4 linked regions of the Drosophila melanogaster genome follow. The protein of the gene in region 1 interacts with the protein of each later gene in a pairwise test. Each region holds a gene or a part of one and is shown on either strand. Other genes may lie near its edges. The genes, in order: CG14744, Lip3, Tengl3 and CG13806.

What was found.
Region 2: the proteins of CG14744 (region 1) and Lip3 interact in a two-hybrid assay, tested with the Drosophila melanogaster proteins (one large-scale study listed by BioGRID).
Region 3: the proteins of CG14744 (region 1) and Tengl3 interact in a two-hybrid assay, tested with the Drosophila melanogaster proteins (one large-scale study listed by BioGRID).
Region 4: the proteins of CG14744 (region 1) and CG13806 interact in a two-hybrid assay, tested with the Drosophila melanogaster proteins (one large-scale study listed by BioGRID).

What each region holds. Positions count from the first base shown.
Region 1 is NT_033778.4:8,705,406-8,711,429, reverse strand, and holds CG14744 (uncharacterized protein), read left to right. Parts: upstream 1-1,943; 5' UTR 1,944-2,061; coding exon 2,062-2,136; intron 2,137-2,197; coding exon 2,198-2,418; intron 2,419-2,477; coding exon 2,478-2,803; intron 2,804-2,859; coding exon 2,860-2,934; intron 2,935-3,003; coding exon 3,004-3,510; coding exon of another isoform or gene 3,511-3,514; intron 3,515-3,569; coding exon 3,570-3,709; intron 3,710-3,778; coding exon 3,779-4,013; intron 4,014-4,068; coding exon 4,069-4,352; 3' UTR 4,353-5,042; downstream 5,043-6,024. Other genes in the region: CG14743 (uncharacterized protein), read left to right, coding at 136-275, 328-562, 749-1,032; PGRP-SC1a (peptidoglycan recognition protein SC1a), read right to left, coding at 1,110-1,667.
Region 2 is NT_033777.3:13,369,398-13,374,140, reverse strand, and holds Lip3 (lipase 3), read left to right. Parts: upstream 1-2,236; 5' UTR 2,237-2,394; coding exon 2,395-2,478; intron 2,479-2,632; coding exon 2,633-3,352; intron 3,353-3,429; coding exon 3,430-3,810; 3' UTR 3,811-3,864; downstream 3,865-4,743. Other genes in the region: CG9813 (uncharacterized protein), read left to right, coding at 1-62, 126-244; CG34309 (uncharacterized protein), read right to left, coding at 1,063-1,273, 1,383-1,477; CheA87a (chemosensory protein A 87a), read right to left, coding at 3,865-4,185, 4,242-4,472.
Region 3 is NT_033779.5:2,236,098-2,240,109, reverse strand, and holds Tengl3 (testis EndoG-Like 3), read left to right. Parts: upstream 1-1,858; 5' UTR 1,859-1,902; coding exon 1,903-2,073; intron 2,074-2,135; coding exon 2,136-2,978; 3' UTR 2,979-3,034; downstream 3,035-4,012. Other genes in the region: Tengl1 (testis EndoG-Like 1), read left to right, coding at 1-639; Tengl2 (testis EndoG-Like 2), read left to right, coding at 745-918, 982-1,764; Sec24CD (secretory 24CD), read left to right, coding at 3,569-3,802.
Region 4 is NT_037436.4:2,264,275-2,268,410, forward strand, and holds CG13806 (uncharacterized protein), read left to right. Parts: upstream 1-2,119; 5' UTR 2,120-2,227; coding exon 2,228-2,257; intron 2,258-2,329; coding exon 2,330-3,193; 3' UTR 3,194-3,366; downstream 3,367-4,136. Other genes in the region: ecd (ecdysoneless), read right to left, coding at 1-1,148, 1,222-1,501; obst-I (obstructor-I), read left to right, coding at 3,596-4,136.

The sequences.
Region 1 (6,024 bases):
GCAATGAGTTGATGCTTACTTAACTGTACTCAAATACATTATACCTACATAGCTTATATTTTAGTTAATGTATTCCTATTTATTTAAATTTAAAATAATTTAATTCTAAATTCATGTTATTTTACCATCCCCTAGCTATGCTGGTGCACAAATACGCGGAATGGTATTACGTTCCTCAATTCCGGATGGCAATATGGTCACTACTGGTAACGATGCCCCTGGCAATAGTTGTATTCTTGCACTCTCGCACTGACATCCCGCCATTTTATCACTCGGTAAGATCGATTTCTTTAGAGAAAGCAATAAATTACCCTTAAACTTCGACAGTCTTACTGCGCGCTTACAATCTCCACCGTGATTATATTCTTTTGGATTTGTGCCTGGGAAATGGATGCGCTGATATCCATAATTGGGGTCGTCTTTGATCTGGCCCCGTCCTACATGAGCATCACCTTCAACTCGGTGTCCGCTGCCACAGCTGACTTAATAGCCTACGCACATCTCGCCAAGCATGGATACGGAAAGATGGCTTTTGGAGCCATCATCGGTGGTTCTGTTTATAGTTAGTGGTAAAAGTCGATAATTGCGTGCTAGACTATCCAATGTCAATTTTCAGCATCTAAAATTGTTTTCAAATCTCAGAAAACCAGTTTCTCTAGGAATCATGCTCATCAATCATCAATCAATGATTTGGCTTCTGCTTTAAGGTCATTGTAGAGGTCATAAGTAAAACAGTCTTTTCCCGCAGGTTTGGCAGTCAATGTGGGCATCGAATTGGTCTTACAGAAGAAACTCAACTCCCGCGGTCAAGTAGTCTTGTATGGAGATGACGGTGTAACCATCTACATATTCCTGGTGATAACCATCACAACCACCTTGTGGTGGTGCCTCACCTTCAACTTTGTTGCCCGCCGATCCGCTGGGCTGTTCATGTGGTCCCTATTCGTGTTGTTCCTAGTTTACACTACGGCCATAGAGTTGCAGTGGGTCCATGGCTTCCAAGACAATATTCAGATTCGCCCGACTGCCTAATAAACCAATGTATTGCCAAGACAAAAAACACGATTATGGTGCGTTTAACTTTATTTAGCGTGGTTTGTGTCAAGGACCTAGCCAGACCAGTGGGACCAGCCGCGGATCTCGTTCCAGATGTGGGTGCCGGGGCATTCGGTGGCGCTGACCTGGCGATGACCGTACAGGATGTAGCCGGAGCTGAGCTGGCCACGGTTGACGGCGTCGTTGAGCAGCTGCTGGGCGGCGGAGATCATGTTCGGCTCCAGGGTGTCCCAGTTGTAGTTGCCCAGGAAGCTGATGCCGATGCTGTAGGGGTTCCACTCGGCGGCGTGGGCGCCCATGTTGTTCCAGCCACGCCCCTCGTACACGTTGCCGTCTCCGCCGATCAGGAAGTTGTAGCCGATGTCGGGCCAGCCCAGGGAGTCCATGTGGTAGTTCTGGACGCTCTGCAGCACGGCGTTGCACTGGGCACGGGTCTCGCAGTAGGAGCCGGCGGTGTGGTGGATGATGGCGTAGCTGAGGTAGTTGCCCAGGCCTACGGTCCATTTGGCGCCGCGACCACCCCACTCCGCCTTGGAGACGACATAGACGCCCTGGGCCATGTACTGGCTGCAGACCAGGACGGCGAGGAGGAGAGCCACTTTGGAAACCATGATTACCAGCTGTAATAGTTGACGATCGCTTGATGGAGATCGTGGGTCGCCGTGGCGCTTATATAGCATCAGTTATGCGTATGGGTTGCCATCTTATCTGGTGGTTCATGGCTAATTTACAGCCCTCGTCGATGGCACATGTTTAGGTTCGTATTAGGGGAAGACCCTTGGCGTGAGCCTCGTCACAATCGCAATCTTCGGGTGTTGATTTATTCAGCGTTTTATGAATGTGGTTCTTCTAAATAAATGCTTTATCAATGTGCTGGGGTCGACACATTGGCCGGTCACCTGAATGTCTTTGTAGAAAAAGTCAAGGAGTGTTGTTCGATTCTCGTCAGTTCTAAATTTAATTCTCAGCATATTCTTTTGACTTTGAGGGAAGAATTTGAATACAATGAGTGGGCGAACGAAAAGGACTAAATTTAACATAACAGAACTGGACCACGAATTTCACTACTTCATCAAGAATGTAAGATATTGTGAGAATACAGTGAGAAATTGGTGGCCATAGCATTTGTTGGCTCTTACAGATGAGTTGTAGGGCCGTGATGAGACTTCCGTACAACTATCGCTGCAGGATGGCCACCCAAGTGAGTGACTGCAAGCGCATTATAAACTTTTTCAATTACTTCAGGATGATGTACTGCTCAATTGACATCGATGACAAAGCAACAGAGGTCCTGTTCATGTTGCTGTTTGCCTTCATATGTGTGGCGTTTCTGTGGCTGATGTCCTTCAATATTGGTACCTAGTAAGTTTTTGGATAAAGTGCACATTCCTCTGATTGCTCATTCGAAATCCTGCATTAAGTTTTTCTCCAGTCCTCAAGATCATCTCGCTAAAGCTGCACATGAATGAGTACCTGGCAGGAGTTACCTTTCTGGCTTTTGGTAACTGCAGTCCAGAAATAATAGCTAATCTGATGCCCGTGAGGGCCGATGCACCCATCTTTACCATAACTGTGGGTAATACTCTGGCCATCATTCTGCTGAGTGGAGGTACAGTGTGTTTTCTGAGACCCTTTAGGATGAACGGACATTCCACTCTGCGAGATCTACTGTTTCTTCTCCTGGGTGTGGAGGTCCTGAGGTTTGTGATGATCAAGGAGGGAGCAGTGACCCTGGGAGAGGGTATAGGTAGGAATCTATTTTGGATTTGCCTCAACTCACTGATCTTTAAAACCTACTTTCAGTGCTCTTCTTAATTTACGTTGTTTACGTGGCTATTAATATAGCTGATTTGGCGTTGCTGCGGTACTACATCAGAAGTAAGGAATATTCCCCCAATTTTTTAATTACTCTAGTTATAATAGCAACTAATTACATTTACCATTCAGAACTTCGAAGAGAACTGGACTATTTGGAGGGCCTAACTCCTCCACCAATAACAGAAATAAATGCAAAGATAAGAAAGCTAATATCTTGGGAAGAGCAGGATGACATTGGGATTAAGGACACCACAAAGTACCGTCGGTCCAGAGACACGGGAAACCACTTCTCAAATATGACCAGTAGTGGCTACTTTGTAACCCCCATCCCAGAAAGACGATCCGAACACGTTGACTACGAGTTAAATCGCACAGCGCTCCATGACTCGGAGAATCCTAAAAACCTACAACTTTTCACGGAGTTCTTCCAGTCTCTCAATCCCGTTGATGCAGAGGCGTGGCAGCTGGGTGGGTGGAGCAATCGAATATACCTGATTGCCAGGTGCCCCCTGGTGTTCGTACTGCAGCTCTTCATACCCGTGGTGGACTACGAAAAGATCAAGCACGGCTGGAGTAAGCTGCTCAACTGCACGCAGATCGTGACGAATCCTTTCGTGGTCATTACCCTGGTGCACTGTAGGTATGCGGGAGTACATCAGAAGTGCATTTGATTCCTAAACCTCGCTGACCCTCAGCTGGGGTGTCCAGCGTCTACAAAACCTGGCACATAACCCTCGACTTCAGCATCTCCATGTGGTCGCCGTGCCTTACAGTCCCGCTAGCCATTGTGATCTTCCTGCACTCTCGAACGGATGTGCCGCCCAGCTATCACCACGTAAGAAGATCCAAAGCAGCACCACTGCGTGCTGATTAGACTCGAATGGGTATCAACCTTCCTTCCTAGCTGTTTATTATCCTCACGTTTTTCAGTTCCATGGTGACGCTCTGGCTCGCCGTCACAGAACTGGAAGTGCTCTCCGAGATTGTGGGCATCGTATTCAATCTGTCCGAGAGCTTCATGGCGGTCACCTTTGAGGCTGTCTCCAATGCCACTCCGGACATTATAGCCAATTACCAGCTGGCCTTGCAGGGCTATGGGCGGATGGCCTTCGCCGCCATAATAGGAGGTCCAGTTTTTGGTAAGCAAAAGTTATATTTTCCATTAATGGTTACCTGATGTATTCGATATTTCAGCGATTTTGGTTAGCATGAGCTTGGCCTTTATATTCAATCACAGAGTACGTGAAGTGGGCGCCAATTCGTGGGTGTACGGCGATCTGGGCGACAACTGCTACCTCTTTCTGGTAATAACCATTGTGACCACAATGTGGTGGAGCGTCACCTTCGATTTCCACGCTCGTAGATCCGCTGGAGTTTTCCTGTGGCTCGTTTACTTGCAGTTCCTCTTATATGCGGTCTGTGTGGAGTGGGATGTTGTTCATGAATTTTCCAGAGATCAGCACTTTAAGCCAATATGATTTGGAATATACATATGGTCTTGATATGAGATATGTTATTAAAAATGAAACAAGTGAAGGAAGCTCCTTAACCAGCATAGCTCCTTTCAATAATATTTAATCACGTATCGTTTACACTAAGTATATTTCATGGATTTATCTCAGCTTTGATCTGATCCCTGGTACTGCCAAATATGATTGCTTTGAAAATATACCAGCATAATTGGGATTTTGCGTCAGCAAAGGTACTGACTAATTAAGTGAATGAAGAGGAAATGCTTTCGAAAGGCGTCGGCAAAAGGCGAAACACTGACAGAGGTCCATTGAAATGCAGAAGGAGACTCCCTTGGCAATCTGTCCTGCCCCGACGCTCCACTTCTCCCTGCATTTTTCCACAGAATAAAAGCGTATTGCATAATGAAGGGAAACTGATGGCAACGAAACGATGGGGAAAGCTCCGTGTTAATTACGGTTAAAGTGTCTGGAGGAGGTTGGTGTCCCGTCAACTTTCATGGGACGGACGAGTGATTTGTGCGCCAAAGATACTCCAACTGATACTTCAGCTTTGTAGATAAACAAAGACAATCGATCAGAGAATGTTTTAACGGAGTGCAAAGATATTACTGCCAAATATATTCCTAGCTTAAACTTTAAAGTTATTTAACAAATATAGACTACTTGGATTTGTACAATAGTTGATGCCCAAGGTTGGGAAAATGTGAATATTTTTTTTGGAGTTTTCAAAGTTTACCCTGCACCGGAAGATATCTAAAGCATTCTTTCGATGCTTCGCCGGAGCAGTATTAATATCGACTGCAGATGTAGATTCCACTTGATTCCGGCCATTATGGCAACTGCAGCTGAAACATAACCATTGGATTTAAGTACAATTGCATAAACAAGAGCTGCTGGCTCAAGTGTAGGGAAAAAGACAAGGCGAAAGCCAACTTGCAGCTTCAACTACCAAGGCAAATGGCACGCAGAATTCCGGCAGCAATAAAAGCACTCAACTTCCTTCAGACTTCCCGTCTATCTGTCCATCCGTCCATCAGTCCGTCCGCCAGAACCTCTATCTGTGCACTTAATGTGACATGTTTTTGCAACAGCTTTGGTTTCTCCCCTCGCCGCCACTCGCCACTCGAGATTCCGAATCGTATTCCGATTCACCCAGCTTGGAAGGGCTCCGTGGCCATGAGATTTGATGCATTTTGCTTGTTACCAAATTGTTTTGCATTCTCCTTCACGTTCTTACATAGCCTCGCAGTCCCGAATCGAATGCAAAAACGGCAAAACGGAAGGAGAAGTCCTTTTTCTGTGCTATTGGCTTGATTCTGGCATGATTCGGTGTGAAAGTCATCAAATATTTAAAACCCAAGTGCGGAATCGCACCCAGATTGCTAGAGATGGTTTATGCAAGACGGGAAATTGATTTCAAATGATGTGTCTTCGGCATTGGCCTCATGCCAAATTCTAGTATTTAATTCTGCAGAAATATACTCAGCTTCTTATCAGTGGTTCTTGCTATTGTTTAATAGATTAAATTCGACCGACAGGCCTCTGTTTGCGTGCTCATTTACTATCGCTCATGAATGAACTTATTTATAGTGCTGTGCTGCCTTATCGCCAATGGCTCATTTTATGGATGGCCATAAGTATTCTAGTTGTTTGGGAACACGTGAACTTATATGAGTTA
Region 2 (4,743 bases), on another chromosome or scaffold:
ATTTCTAGAGCGCGAGGGTAACATGGGTGTCATACCCATCGACTTGCAAAAGAAGGTTTTAAGTAAGTAACCAGTATTACCTATGAAAAGGCGTAAAATTCATTTGTATTTTTTAATTTTTCCAGGAGTTTTGCTGAGCGCATTGTCGGACACCCTGACCGAACATCCGGAGTTTCTGCCGGCGGCGCGGGTTAATCTGGCCAACCCATTTTACAGGCTTCCAATACACGCCCCTAGCCAATAAAGACACATTGGGCGGCCATCTCAGATTAATAGAAACCCCTATAAATATATATATGTTAACCCGCATAATTCGCATCAGCTAAATGGCAAGCATATACCCACTGATCGGCGCTACTCTGGGGAGGCGCTCTCTCGGATCTTCGATCCAACTCGACCTAATTAAGTTCATCCGATCGATTGGCACCTTTCACCTTCGTTTACGGATTAGCCTACGTGTAATATAGCAAAAGATACTCAAGTGATATTTTGTGGTCAGGTGGAGTCGGCGGCAGATGCAGGTATCACCAAACCAAATCAAAAAAACTAAAGACACAACTGATGAGAGAGACTTGCGCCCCTTTGAGCTTTTAAAATTAATATAGACTATCTATATGTATATGTCCATATGTCCATATGTCGATATGCATACGAATTGGCGCACTTGCTTATATTTGATATGAGTTTGTTAGTTAGATACATTCCGAGGTTGAGATGTCGAGGTCGCTGGCAAAATCGATGGGCCACCAGAAACGACCGATTTGAAGCAGGAAAGGGCTCTGAGTCCGCCTATATCAGTAGCTAATATGGATATAACTTGTAACCGCTCCACAGACGAGCGACTTTCGTGAATAGTTATTATTCTATTTGTTGTCCCCCTCCCTGAATAATTGAGCGTTACAGGCATTATTGATGGATTGGTTAAACGATTGATTGTGTTGCGAGTTACATATACGATATGCAAGTAAGAACTAGAACCTGTATCAACAAATTATCGATTATACACTCAATATACATAAATATATATATATATATATAAAACATGCGAATCAATTTATTTAACTATTGCTCCTTTTTTGGCTCTGAAGTCTCTGGCTTGTCGAGCAACTGGTTGATTCGTTCTTCAGTCAGCGGCTCCTTACTGTTGAACAGTTTCTCGATCTCGTCCCTCTCTTCCTCGCTAATATCCTTGGCATAGATTTTGGCCAGATCCTCCAGGCGCTGCTGGTTCTTCTTCAGATGTCCAGGTAGCCAGAAAATGGTCTGCACCATTCTATAAGAAATAATTGGTACTATAAGGTGCCAGGTATTATGATCACATTACAAATTTGTACATTGCGCATTAAGTATTGAGTATTGAATAGTTTAGTAAATGTCCTTACTTAAGAAGTACAAATCCGCAAATGGCCAGTAAAAGACACAATCCCGATGTCTTAAACATGGTCCAATAGTCCACCGTAACTTGTTGGTGTTTCATTTTGGAAATCCTTTGAAAATGAGCTCCACTCTAGACTGAATTATGGCTTGAACTGTCATAAGTGCGATATGGTAATATGCCTTCGGGCCAAGAATGCCAATGTTATGGTCACGTCGTCAGGGGCAGCCGGCTCGGGAGATACGTGTATTATACACCATCGGCAGACCAATCATGTGTGGCCTCTATAAATCGATATCACACAAGCCCTGATTTTGATGACCAGGCTACAAAGTCGGGCTAAAGTGCTAACTGGGCCGCATAAGGATTAATGTGCGCACATGTTGCTGCTGCATAAGTGCTGCATGTTGCCGACGACACTAGCAACATGTTGCTGGCGTGATTCAGGCATTTTATTGTTTTCATTTGCAATCGGATTTTCTATATTTAACAATTATCTTCAACGAATTACGTATTTGCAAATAATAATAAAAATTATATGCCTTATTAAAAAGATCGAGCTGCAGAATACCCTCTTCTCAATTTTTAATGTGCCCGAATTTAAGGGTAGCCTATTGTTATTAATGTTTTAGTATAATTTTTTTTTTTTATAAATTTCCATTGGTGATATAATAAAAGGTCTCTTAAAAGGCAAATGTCTTGAAATAAATGGAAATTTTATATGCTTGACTTTTTAAAGTAAGGGGTACCAAAATAATTGAAAATCGATAAGAAAATCCGTCGTTTTGGCGGGGTGTTTGGGTTTCTTTAGATTGTAAATTTGAGACCCGCGATTTCAATCTAAACAAGAAGCTGATTAGGCCAGGTGTATCTAACTCTCATATATATTTAACTGATTTCTTGGGGGTCTTCGTACGCGTTTGCCAATAAATCTGATTGTTTGTGACTATCAATGGATAGATAGTGGTCAAGGGGCTATAAAAGCTGTGATCCCGAACCACACGGATCATAGTACTGCGATGACAAGAGGAGCGTTAAAAGTGACCATTTTACTGGTCGGATTGGGCCTGGTTTTGGCCGGATCTCGGCCTATTTCTGATTGCGTAAGTAAAAATTTAAGAGTTTGAAAACAATTTAATATTACATATTTGTTATTTATTATTTGGTTTTTCTTTTGACAGAGTGAAACCATTTAATTGCTTTTTATTTACAAATTAAAATTAATTAAAAATAAGCATACATTTAATTGTTTTGTAGGGTGAGCGCATTGAAGACGATGGCTACCCGATGGAGCGCCACGAGGTGGTCACCAGTGACAACTACATCCTGACTATGCACCGCATCCCGTATTCCCCCAAAACGGGTGAATCTTCCAACCGACCGGTGGCCTTCCTCATGCACGGCATGCTGAGTTCTTCCTCCGATTGGGTGCTCATGGGTCCAGAGCGATCCCTGGCCTATATGCTGGCCGATGCCGGCTACGATGTGTGGATGGGCAATGCCCGAGGCAACACCTACTCCAAGGCGCACAAGTACTGGCCCACTTACTGGCAGATCTTCTGGAACTTCAGCTGGAACGAGATCGGCATGTACGACGTTCCGGCGATGATTGATTATGTCTTGGCAAAGACTGGACAGCAGCAGGTGCAATATGTGGGCCACTCCCAGGGTACCACTGTCTATCTGGTGATGGTGTCGGAGAGACCCGAGTACAATGACAAGATCAAGTCCGCCCATCTTCTGGGACCAGCCGCCTATATGGGCAACATGAAGAGCCCCTTGACCCGCGCCTTTGCACCCATTTTGGGCCAGCCCAATGCCATCGTGGAGGTCTGCGGATCCATGGAGTTCATGCCCAGCAATAAGTTCAAGCAGGATTTGGGCATAGAGATGTGCCAGGCCACTTCTCCTTATGCCGACATGTGCGCCAACGAGATCTTCCTGATTGGAGGCTATGATACCGAACAGCTGGACTACGTAAGTATCTGGAAATGAACTTGGTCCTATAAATTATATTTCCATGTAACTTATAATGCTGCTCTCCATTTGGTCAGGAACTCCTTGAGCACATCAAGGCCACGTCTCCGGCTGGCGCATCGGTGAACCAGAACTTGCACTTTTGTCAGGAATATAACTCTGGAAAGTTCCGTAAATTCGACTACACCGCTCTCCGTAATCCCTATGAGTACGGCAGCTACTTCCCTCCGGATTACAAGCTAAAGAATGCCAAGGCCCCGGTTCTATTGTACTACGGAGCCAATGACTGGATGTGCGATGTGAGCGATGTCCGCAAGTTGAGAGACGAACTGCCCAACATGGCGCTGGACTACCTGGTGCCGTTCGAGAAGTGGGCCCATCTGGATTTCATTTGGGGCACTGAGGCCAGAAAATACGTCTACGACGAGGTCTTGAAGCAGATGCAATCCTACGAATAGATTTATTTTTCAGGCAATAAACGGAGCATTTGAGCTAGCAAATTTCGAGATTGATTAGTTCTCCTCCAACTCCAAATCCAGAACGTACGATAATATTTTAGTCTCTTCATTCTTGAGGGTATACTTTATGCGATAGAAGCCCGGACTCATCAGCTTTTTGAGCAACTTGACATTGAAGGGATAGTCCTCTAGTACATAGCGTTCCTTGGGCAGAGGACAGCTGCTGGGATGCGGGGCATTCGAGTATTCCTTGATCCGTTCGTAAAAGATATCCTTGTAGTAGCTCTTCATAAAGTCGCAAAGCTGCATTTCGAATGTCAAAACCTTCTCGTAGTCTCCATCGCTATCCGGGGATCTTGAAACCTTAAGCACAACCTGTTGAAGGAATAATAAATAATTAATTCCTCCACTATATATTATAAACTACGTACCGTCCAATCATTGTCGAGTCGTTGATTCAGATCGAGATATCCGCTGACTTTCAACTCATTTTCCTCGGACTCAGCGATACGCAGACGACTGCGCAGATATGAGGTATCCTCAGTCACCTTTTCTAATTTCTGGATCCTGAATGTCCTTTTAGCCTGGACTGTAATATTACTGGTTAGGACGATAATTGCCAAGACCGCCAGATAAGAGACGGGACATAAAGAGGAGCCCATTACGATACTTTGACGACTGATGGCTGATCATTCGTTGTCATTGGTATATAAGGATTTAGATAGATGATCGCTTGTACCGGAAACGAACTTGTTTCGGTTATTCCCAGAAATGGTTCATTGATATCAAAACGCGATCCCTTTGTTTTATTAAGCTATTGCACAGTTATATTTAATTGCCAACATCACGAAATATACGATTGAATTCACTTTAAGGACGGTACACCTATGAAATAATTATTACCCTTCATTTTCTTTTAACTGATTTAAAAAA
Region 3 (4,012 bases), on another chromosome or scaffold:
TCTGCGATTCTGTGGATGTGCGAGCGGGTAGATCTGTCCAATCGCGTCGTCTACGGGGATTCCACATCCGTGGCTCCAGCTGGAGCATTTGGACAGTCGGAGGCAGCCAGGGTATTTTTCCTGTCCAACATTAGGCCCTTTCTAAACAGAGGGTTCAATCTCACTGTCTGGGATCGACTGCTGCAGTACGTCCATGAGATGAGTCAACGACATGGAACCGTGTATGCCTACACCGGATCAATTTACTTGCCCCGGGAGCTAAAGTCGAACAGTTGGTTCCTGGAGTTCCAGTCGGAGGAGAGAACCATGGTGGCCGTACCCACCCATTTCTTCAAGATCCTGGTCATTGATAAGAAGTTCGCGGGCGATACCATTCCCTATGCGGAGGCCTATGTGATGCCCAACTCTCCGCTGAACAACAATGTCGAACTGAAGACGCTTCTCAGCGATGTCCGGGAAATAGAAAACGCTACTGGTCTACGGTTCTTTGAAGGACTCGACCGCAACTTTGTCAACACCCAAGCATCAAATTCATTTGTCCCCTCAGTAAACGGTCCTTTAACAAATCCGTTAACGTTGCCGATGACTAATGCCTTAGACAGTCACAGTGCCCTCACATCAAGTATTTCTCCAAAATAGAATATAAATACATATATGTTGAAGGAGACAATGATGGCCATGAGAAATCCTTCAGATAAACAATGTTTTATTTGCTTTTGAGGGGTAATTCACAGAGCCCATTTCATGGACCGAAAATGGCAGCTCCTGGGACTGGGTTTCGTCCTGGGAGTGACTGCGCTCTGTGCATCCTTCGTGGGTGGAATGTATTTTCAGCACACAGATGCCAGAAAACGCCTGCGGGAACTAATACAAACGGATCCCTATGCCTACTATCTCAGTCCCAAAATTTATGAAGTGGTAACCAATACTGTAGTAAAAGAATATAAGTAACACTTGCACCAAAATAATTTCCCTAACCAGTTTACTTTCTTTGAGAGCAATAATGAAGACGATCACCGGATGAGGCAGATCATGAAGTTTGGGTTCCCTGGCCTGGATGACTTGCGTCTGTATAGTGACTTCGTACTATCCTACGATCGCCGAAACCGAGTGGCCCACTGGGTGTGCGAGCACCTCCAGGCGGACAGCATACATCCGAATCGAGGCAGACGTGGTCGCAACCCATACCAGCCGGATTTGAGTGTTCCCTCCAACTTCCGATCGGAACTGAGCGACTATCGGAGATCTGGATTCGACCGAGGACACTTGGCAGCCGCAGGAAATCACCATCTGCAACAGAATCACTGCGAGGATACGTTTTTCCTAACGAATATTGCCCCACAAGTGGGCCAGGGCTTCAACCGAAGCGCGTGGAACAACTTGGAACAATATGTTCGAAATCTGGTCCACCGATTTGGATCCGTTTTCGTGTGTACTGGTCCACTATATAAGCCCAATCAAAGACCGGGAGGTAAGTGGGCCGTGGAGTACGAGATGATCGGACTGAATATGGTTGCAGTTCCGACGCACTTCTTCAAGGTGATCATGGTGGAATCAAAACTGCACCTGGGTAAACCCTATATGGAGGGCTATGTCCTGCCCAATGCTCCAATACCAGATGGTCTGCCACTACGATCGTTTCTCTGCGACATCCGGGAGATTGAGCACTACGCAGGTCTCAAGTTCTTCGATGGTTTGAGAAGGAGTGCCCTATTCGGCAGCAATTATCCAAGTGAATCTCGAGTTTTTCGCGAATTCAGTTAGTGGAGGGATCCCAATCGTTAAATATATATTTAACTTAACTGCAAGCAGGCTATCTTCTTCCGACTGACATATCGACAAATTGTTACATTACACACTTCATCAAAGAAACACTACACGAAATTATTGTAAGGCCCACTTATGTCCTTTAGCGAATCAAATGTTCATCAGTGGGCTTTATGTGCCCTTGCGGGAGTAACCGGGTTTGTGTGTGGAGCCTTTGTCCAACAAGAGGCGTCCATAAGGCAGCTGCTCCAGCAGATTCGAAGGGATCCCTATGTCTACCATCATCGTCACAAGTTATATCCGATGGTGAGCGATATGAAAAAGTTAGAAATGTTTGTAAGATTTTAATTCTAATATTTTCCCACAAGTTATCCACCTTTGGGACAGACCATGAGGCCCGTTTGTGGAATCGTCCTACTTCATGGGCCGACAAATTCAGGGAGCTGGTATTATCACCGATCCTCGATTTAGTTAGTGCTACTGTGACGCTGAAATGGGATTCGGCAACCACAACTGATCTGCTCGACCTAGTCAAGTATGGACTGCCCAGCACGGAGAACTTGTACGTCCATAAGGACTACGTGGTTTCGCAGGACCTGCGCACGAACGGCGTCAGATGGATTTGTGAGCATTTCCGTGGGGATTATCAAAGGGTATCGTCGGATGGAGGCGGATATAGCACCATGAATCTTCGCTACAATGATGTGTATGTGCTGAGCTGCGGTTCGATGAGCATATGCAAGGCGTTCAAGCGGAAAATCTGGAACGATCTGGAGAACTACGTGTCCAGCATGGCCAAGGAGTTTGGCTCAGTGTACGCCTACACTGGGCCGATATACACCCCAACATGTTACGAGATTGGCAAATGGACCATGAAGTATGAGGTGTTTGACTGGATTCCGATACCAGTGCCATCCCATTTCTTTAAGGTATTAATCGTGGAGAGTGGAGTTCCGGGATCCCAACCCTTCATGGAAGCATTTATCATCGAAAACAGCCGAAGGGTTGGCGGCAAGTTGAATGACCACCGCGTCAAAGTAGGCGAAATAGAGCGTTACACAGGACTGCGATTTAACAAGATCATGCAACCCGTAGTCCAATTCGGGAAGGACTCATTTACGGTGGACACCAGGGCTTGGGCCGGCAGGTTGGAGGAAATTTCTGAGCCTTTGGTAACATTTCCTCCCGACCAGAAATTAAATTTAATATAAACCCCTGAATGTAAGGAATATTTTGATAAAATTGTGAAAATATACATATTTATTTTAAATGTACTTTGATTATATCTTATTCACTTATTTATTTTAACCCAACGTATTTAATGACGTCACTGCATTCTATTGCACCACCTTACACATAACATAACTCGCAGCTGTTCGCTAACAGCAGCGCTGTTAAGTTCAACACGATTATCGATTCGGCGATGGCAGCCGAAAGAGCACAATCGATTGACATTCGATTTTCCACTGCCGATTACCGATAGCTTACGTGGCAAGGCAAAAAGAGCAAAAAAGATCGAATTAGGGAACTGACGTGGAAGTTCGTTTAGCTCGAAATTATTCTTGTTTTTCAACCAGCGATCGTCCGCCGCGGCCGTCGAGAGTTGAGGCCAACACCGAGTGGCCAAAATCGAGGAGTCAGTGGTCAGGAATCAGGCCGAGCAGCCCCCGAAATTGCTAAATCGCCGTGGCGAACTTTGAGCCAATCCGTGTGTGTTTTCTCTTCGTTTTCCGTGAAAGTTGTTTGTTGGCTTAGCGTCGACCCTCTCCGCTAAAACCCAGGTGATTAATCCGGGCCAGAAATGAATCCGAATATGTACGGGCCACCGCCCACGCAGTTCCAGCAGCAACCCCAGTTTGGGGCTCCTCCTCCGAATTCCGGAGGTTGGCCACCGCAGCAACAACAACTACCGCAGCAGCAGCCGCCGCAGCAACAACTGCCTCCGCAGCAGCAGCAACAACAACCACAGTACGGAGCACCACCACCAACGTCGGCGGCATCCCAGCCTTACCTCAATGGCAACTACCAGCAGCAGGTGAATAGATAGCCTTAACCATGGCAGCTTTGACGAGAATCGGAAGACAATCCGGTTGCACACGTCAAATATATGTGTATTCCCTTCAGCTTCATTCTGGCAATAGCCTATTGAGCTAGTCGATAATAAGAATAGGGTTAGAATCTGAAAAGCATTGCAGAATTACGTTACTCTTTTGAACCAATTGGCCACCTTGATATACAGATATTC
Region 4 (4,136 bases), on another chromosome or scaffold:
ATCTAAGAACTCCGCCAGCTGCTTGGTGAACTCCTCGGCATTCATTTGTCCGTTCGGCTTGTAGAGCTTCTTGGGTCCGTAGCGATCCTGCAGCATGGAGTCTAGATCCTCAGCGCTGATATTCAACCACTCATCCGAGTCGCTGGGCTGCAGGTTGTTCTCCTCATCGCGCAGCTCCTCGGAAGCAGCCTCCGCTGGATGGAGCAACAGGTCGAGGATCTCGGCACCCGCTCTGGAGGCTGTGCGGAAACGCTCCTGGTTGCCACGAAAGTACACCTTGGCCTTGTTCAGCAGCTCCTGGTACTCGGCACTGCCCTCGATGTTGTCCCGGAAGTAGCCCTTGCTCAGCAAGCTCCGCAGATACGATCGCCAGGCAGGAAGGTCCTCCAGCTGTTGGCCCTCAACCCGCTTGGCTTGAGTGGCCAGGATCTCCAGTCCACTGGCCAGCTTCAAGCCCAATAGTTGTTCCTTATATCGTTCCGGCTCGGATACAGGATCCGTGAGATGCCAGCCGAGTCTCTTCTCGGGCAGATACTGCTGGTGCGACAACATGGCGTACAGACAGCGGGTGAAACGCACGTTGGTGCGCACGCGTGTGGCCTCCGGTGGGAAATATCGCATGGTGCGAAGTGCCTTGATGTCCAGCGAGTCCCGCTCGCAGAAAGCCCTAACCGCCGAGGAGAGCAGCCTTGGCTTCTGTTTCAGAAGCTGTGCAGCGCTATGCGGGAGCTCCAGCACCTGGCGATGAATGGAGAAGTGCGGCTGAGCGATCTGGTACTCCTTAAGCCGCGCGTCAATGCACGACTGTATCTCCTGCGAGCAGCGGTACAGGGTGGGATTCATTCGTATACGTTGCACAGCCATGGCCATGGTCAGTGGCTTGTCCTGGCTGCTGGCGGCGGAGTTCTGGAGAAGCTGCAGGTGACCACCGACCAGATAAACGCGCTGCTCGCACGTTTCCGGAGACGCCCAGTCGGGCAGGGCGTCCGCCGCCTCGATGAGCAGGAACTCGCCATCCGAATCGCTCACCCGTGCAATGCAGTCGCCGCGTGCACGTGTGATCTCCGTGAGCAGATAGACAACGAACCACTCGTCGCTGATGTTGTCGCCATAGTGGGTTACGCCGTGGAAGTGCGGTGGGAGGTCGCCTGGGCGGGGACATGGAAATGGATGATTTCGAATTGCAGAAACAAAGCTATTTATAGCACATTGTGCGCATACCCAGTTCCGCCTCCTCCTCCGGGTTTGTCTCCTCGTTCAGCAGGCGCTCCTCGGCGCCGCCCAGCCTCACCTGAAGCTGAAACTCGTCCTTGTGCCACAGATAGCTGCGCTCTAAGGACTTTTCCCTTACAATGGCCGAGATCTCGTTGCGGATCTGAAGCATCAGTTTGCGCAGCGCGCCCTCATCCTGTACGTTGTCGGGGATCTTGGGAAAGATGTAGTACTCCACGAAGTCCTCCTCGCGGACGAACTCCAGATTGCTGCCTGGAATCTTGCTCATCCTTTGTCCTTTTGCTCCTCCTCCTTTTTTTTATTTGTTAGGGCGTTCGAGGTGACACTATCGACATGAGTGCGTGCTTCCGAACTGACTATCGTTCAAAGAAGTTCGTTCACACTGGTCGCGCAGCAGGGTTCCGCTTCAGCAGAGCGGTGGAGGACGTGGCTAAGCGCTTAGCGGTGACCCAACCCATTCCCGTTATTTCTCTCAGCGATTTTTTATGATTGAAGATTAGGTATGAACCGAAGATTAGGCATTAAATTCCTTTACTAAAAGTGCATATTTACAAAAGCTAGCGGTCAGTTTTATTGAAAGAAATGGTATTTAAATATTTACTCGAGAGCACTTTAAAGTGCTCTGAATAAGTCGGCCAAACAAAATCCCGACTTGTTTACACATTAAACACCCACTCCACTTGACACTCCAGCTAGTTGGACCAATTTTTAGTAAATGTCGTTCACTCACCCATCATTGCGGCATTCCGATCCGCGTAGTTGTTGTAATTAGAAACGCCGCTGCGTTTGCCACTTTGCCCAACTCCCATCGCCTTTTCAAAGTTGATAGATAGACAAACAGACACCCAAAAGATATAAAACGCTATCTAAAGTCTGCTATTTCGGGACTTTTATTGCTGTCACCATATGAGTCTGAATCAGACAATCGAAGATTCTCGTGGAAGTTGGACCTAAACTAACCAGAAACAAAGTCCAAAAGGGGAAATACATCGTCATGTTCTTGGAAAGAATACTAGTGAGCGTGGTAGGTAGTTTTTCAGAATAGGATAAACTTAAGTGAATGGCATTTGATTTTTATGTCCCCACCGCCCAACAGTTACTGCTCAACCTGGTGGCTCTGCTTATGGGAGCCACTGTTACCACCCGGCGCATCCAGCCGCGGGAGACAAACTCCTGCGAGGGCCGTCAGAGTCCCGGGCCCATCTGCGAGTCCTGCGAGCTGCTGGCCACCTGCGTGCGTCACTCCAACGGATGGGTGAACATTCCCGTGGAATCGTGCGACGTGGCTAATGGATACTACTGCAACGCCCGGCTGGGGAGCTGCACCAACGAGACGGGCCCGTGTCATCCGTTCGGCATCGAGGGCAACTTTCAGTGCACCTCGCAAGGCATCTTTCCAGATCCGTACGACTGCCAGAAGTACCACATGTGCTACTTCGTGGGGGCCACTCTGGTGGCTGCTGCCGTTGATTGCGGCAACGACAAGGCCTTCGATGCGACGACTGGCCAGTGCACTTTGACCCTGACTGACTCCGTCTGCCTGCAGCGACAGTACTACTGCCCCAATGCCGGACACGTGGCCGCCTGGCCCACCAATCCCAATATCTTCTACGTGTGCAAGTCGACGGTTAACCAGAACCTGAACGACACCATCGTCATCTACCCCTCGCTGCACAGGTGCAACGATGGCGAGACCTTCGTGGACTACGTCTGCCGCAGCGGATCGAATGTCCTGCCGCCCAGCACCGATGATCCTTCGGTGATCATCGAGGATCCCAACGACGACGACTTTTCGGTGCTGCCCAACACCTGTCAGCACGTGGGCTTGATGGCCGATGGAAACGACTGCCGGAAGTACTACTACTGCTCGGCTCTAAATGGCACCCTGCGGCACATGGACTGCCCCAATGGGACTTACTACCGACCGGAGCTATCCTCCTGCGTCCTGGGAAGCTGCTGAGGAAGATGCATTCCTGCACTTTATTTATTCCTCTTCAATGGATTACATTTAATAAACAACTCATGTTTACCCTGGAATAACAATCTATTTGACATGAATTTATGAATTCCCATTTCAAAAGGTATCAGTTTGATAATAAAGATTCAACCACCATGTCCGTGGGTAATTAAACCAGAATGAGTTCTTTGTTTTTTTCCAATAAAAGTGCAATAGAAATGGACTAGTACTGTCTTGGTTCTTTCTTGCTAAGAGTGCTGTGACTAGGTCATAAATGTTCCATAGAATGTTTTTTTCGTGACAACATTGCAGTTTATCTATTAATTATACCGAAACATTCTGCGTTTGGTTGTGAGGTACTATATAAGGCGGAGTGTGAAGAGGTCTACTTAGAAAGTTTGCAACATGGATTCATCTCGCCTGATTATCTGCCTCCTAACTTTTCTGTTGTTTCAAACGGGAAAAGGGTTGGGGAACGGCAGTTATCTGGAGCTCAGATTGGATGCAGCTGCTGAATCCTGTCCAGATGATTACTACTTTAACGAAACTATCCAAGCCTGCGTATCTACAGACACTACCAGCTGTACCAATCACCAAATCGGCAAATGTCCGATGGCCACAGAAATGGACGAGTTTTGCGTGTGCAAAGATAAGCACCTTCAGATCTGGAAATGCCCTGAAGGAACCTACTTCGATGCCAACCGATTGGTCTGCCGGGTGGGAAGCGTTGAGTGCCAGGACGATTATACTCCATCCCCATGTCCTAACAGCACGGCAAGCGATGTCTTCTGCCTCTGCATCGATGGCAAATGGCATCTTAACTACTGTCCAACGGGCTTTACCTTTGATGACGAGCTGCAGATTTGCCTGAACACAGGATCTGATGACGACGAGTTGCCCAGTTCGTCTGGAAAGTGCCAGCGGCTTGGATTGTTTGGTGATCCCG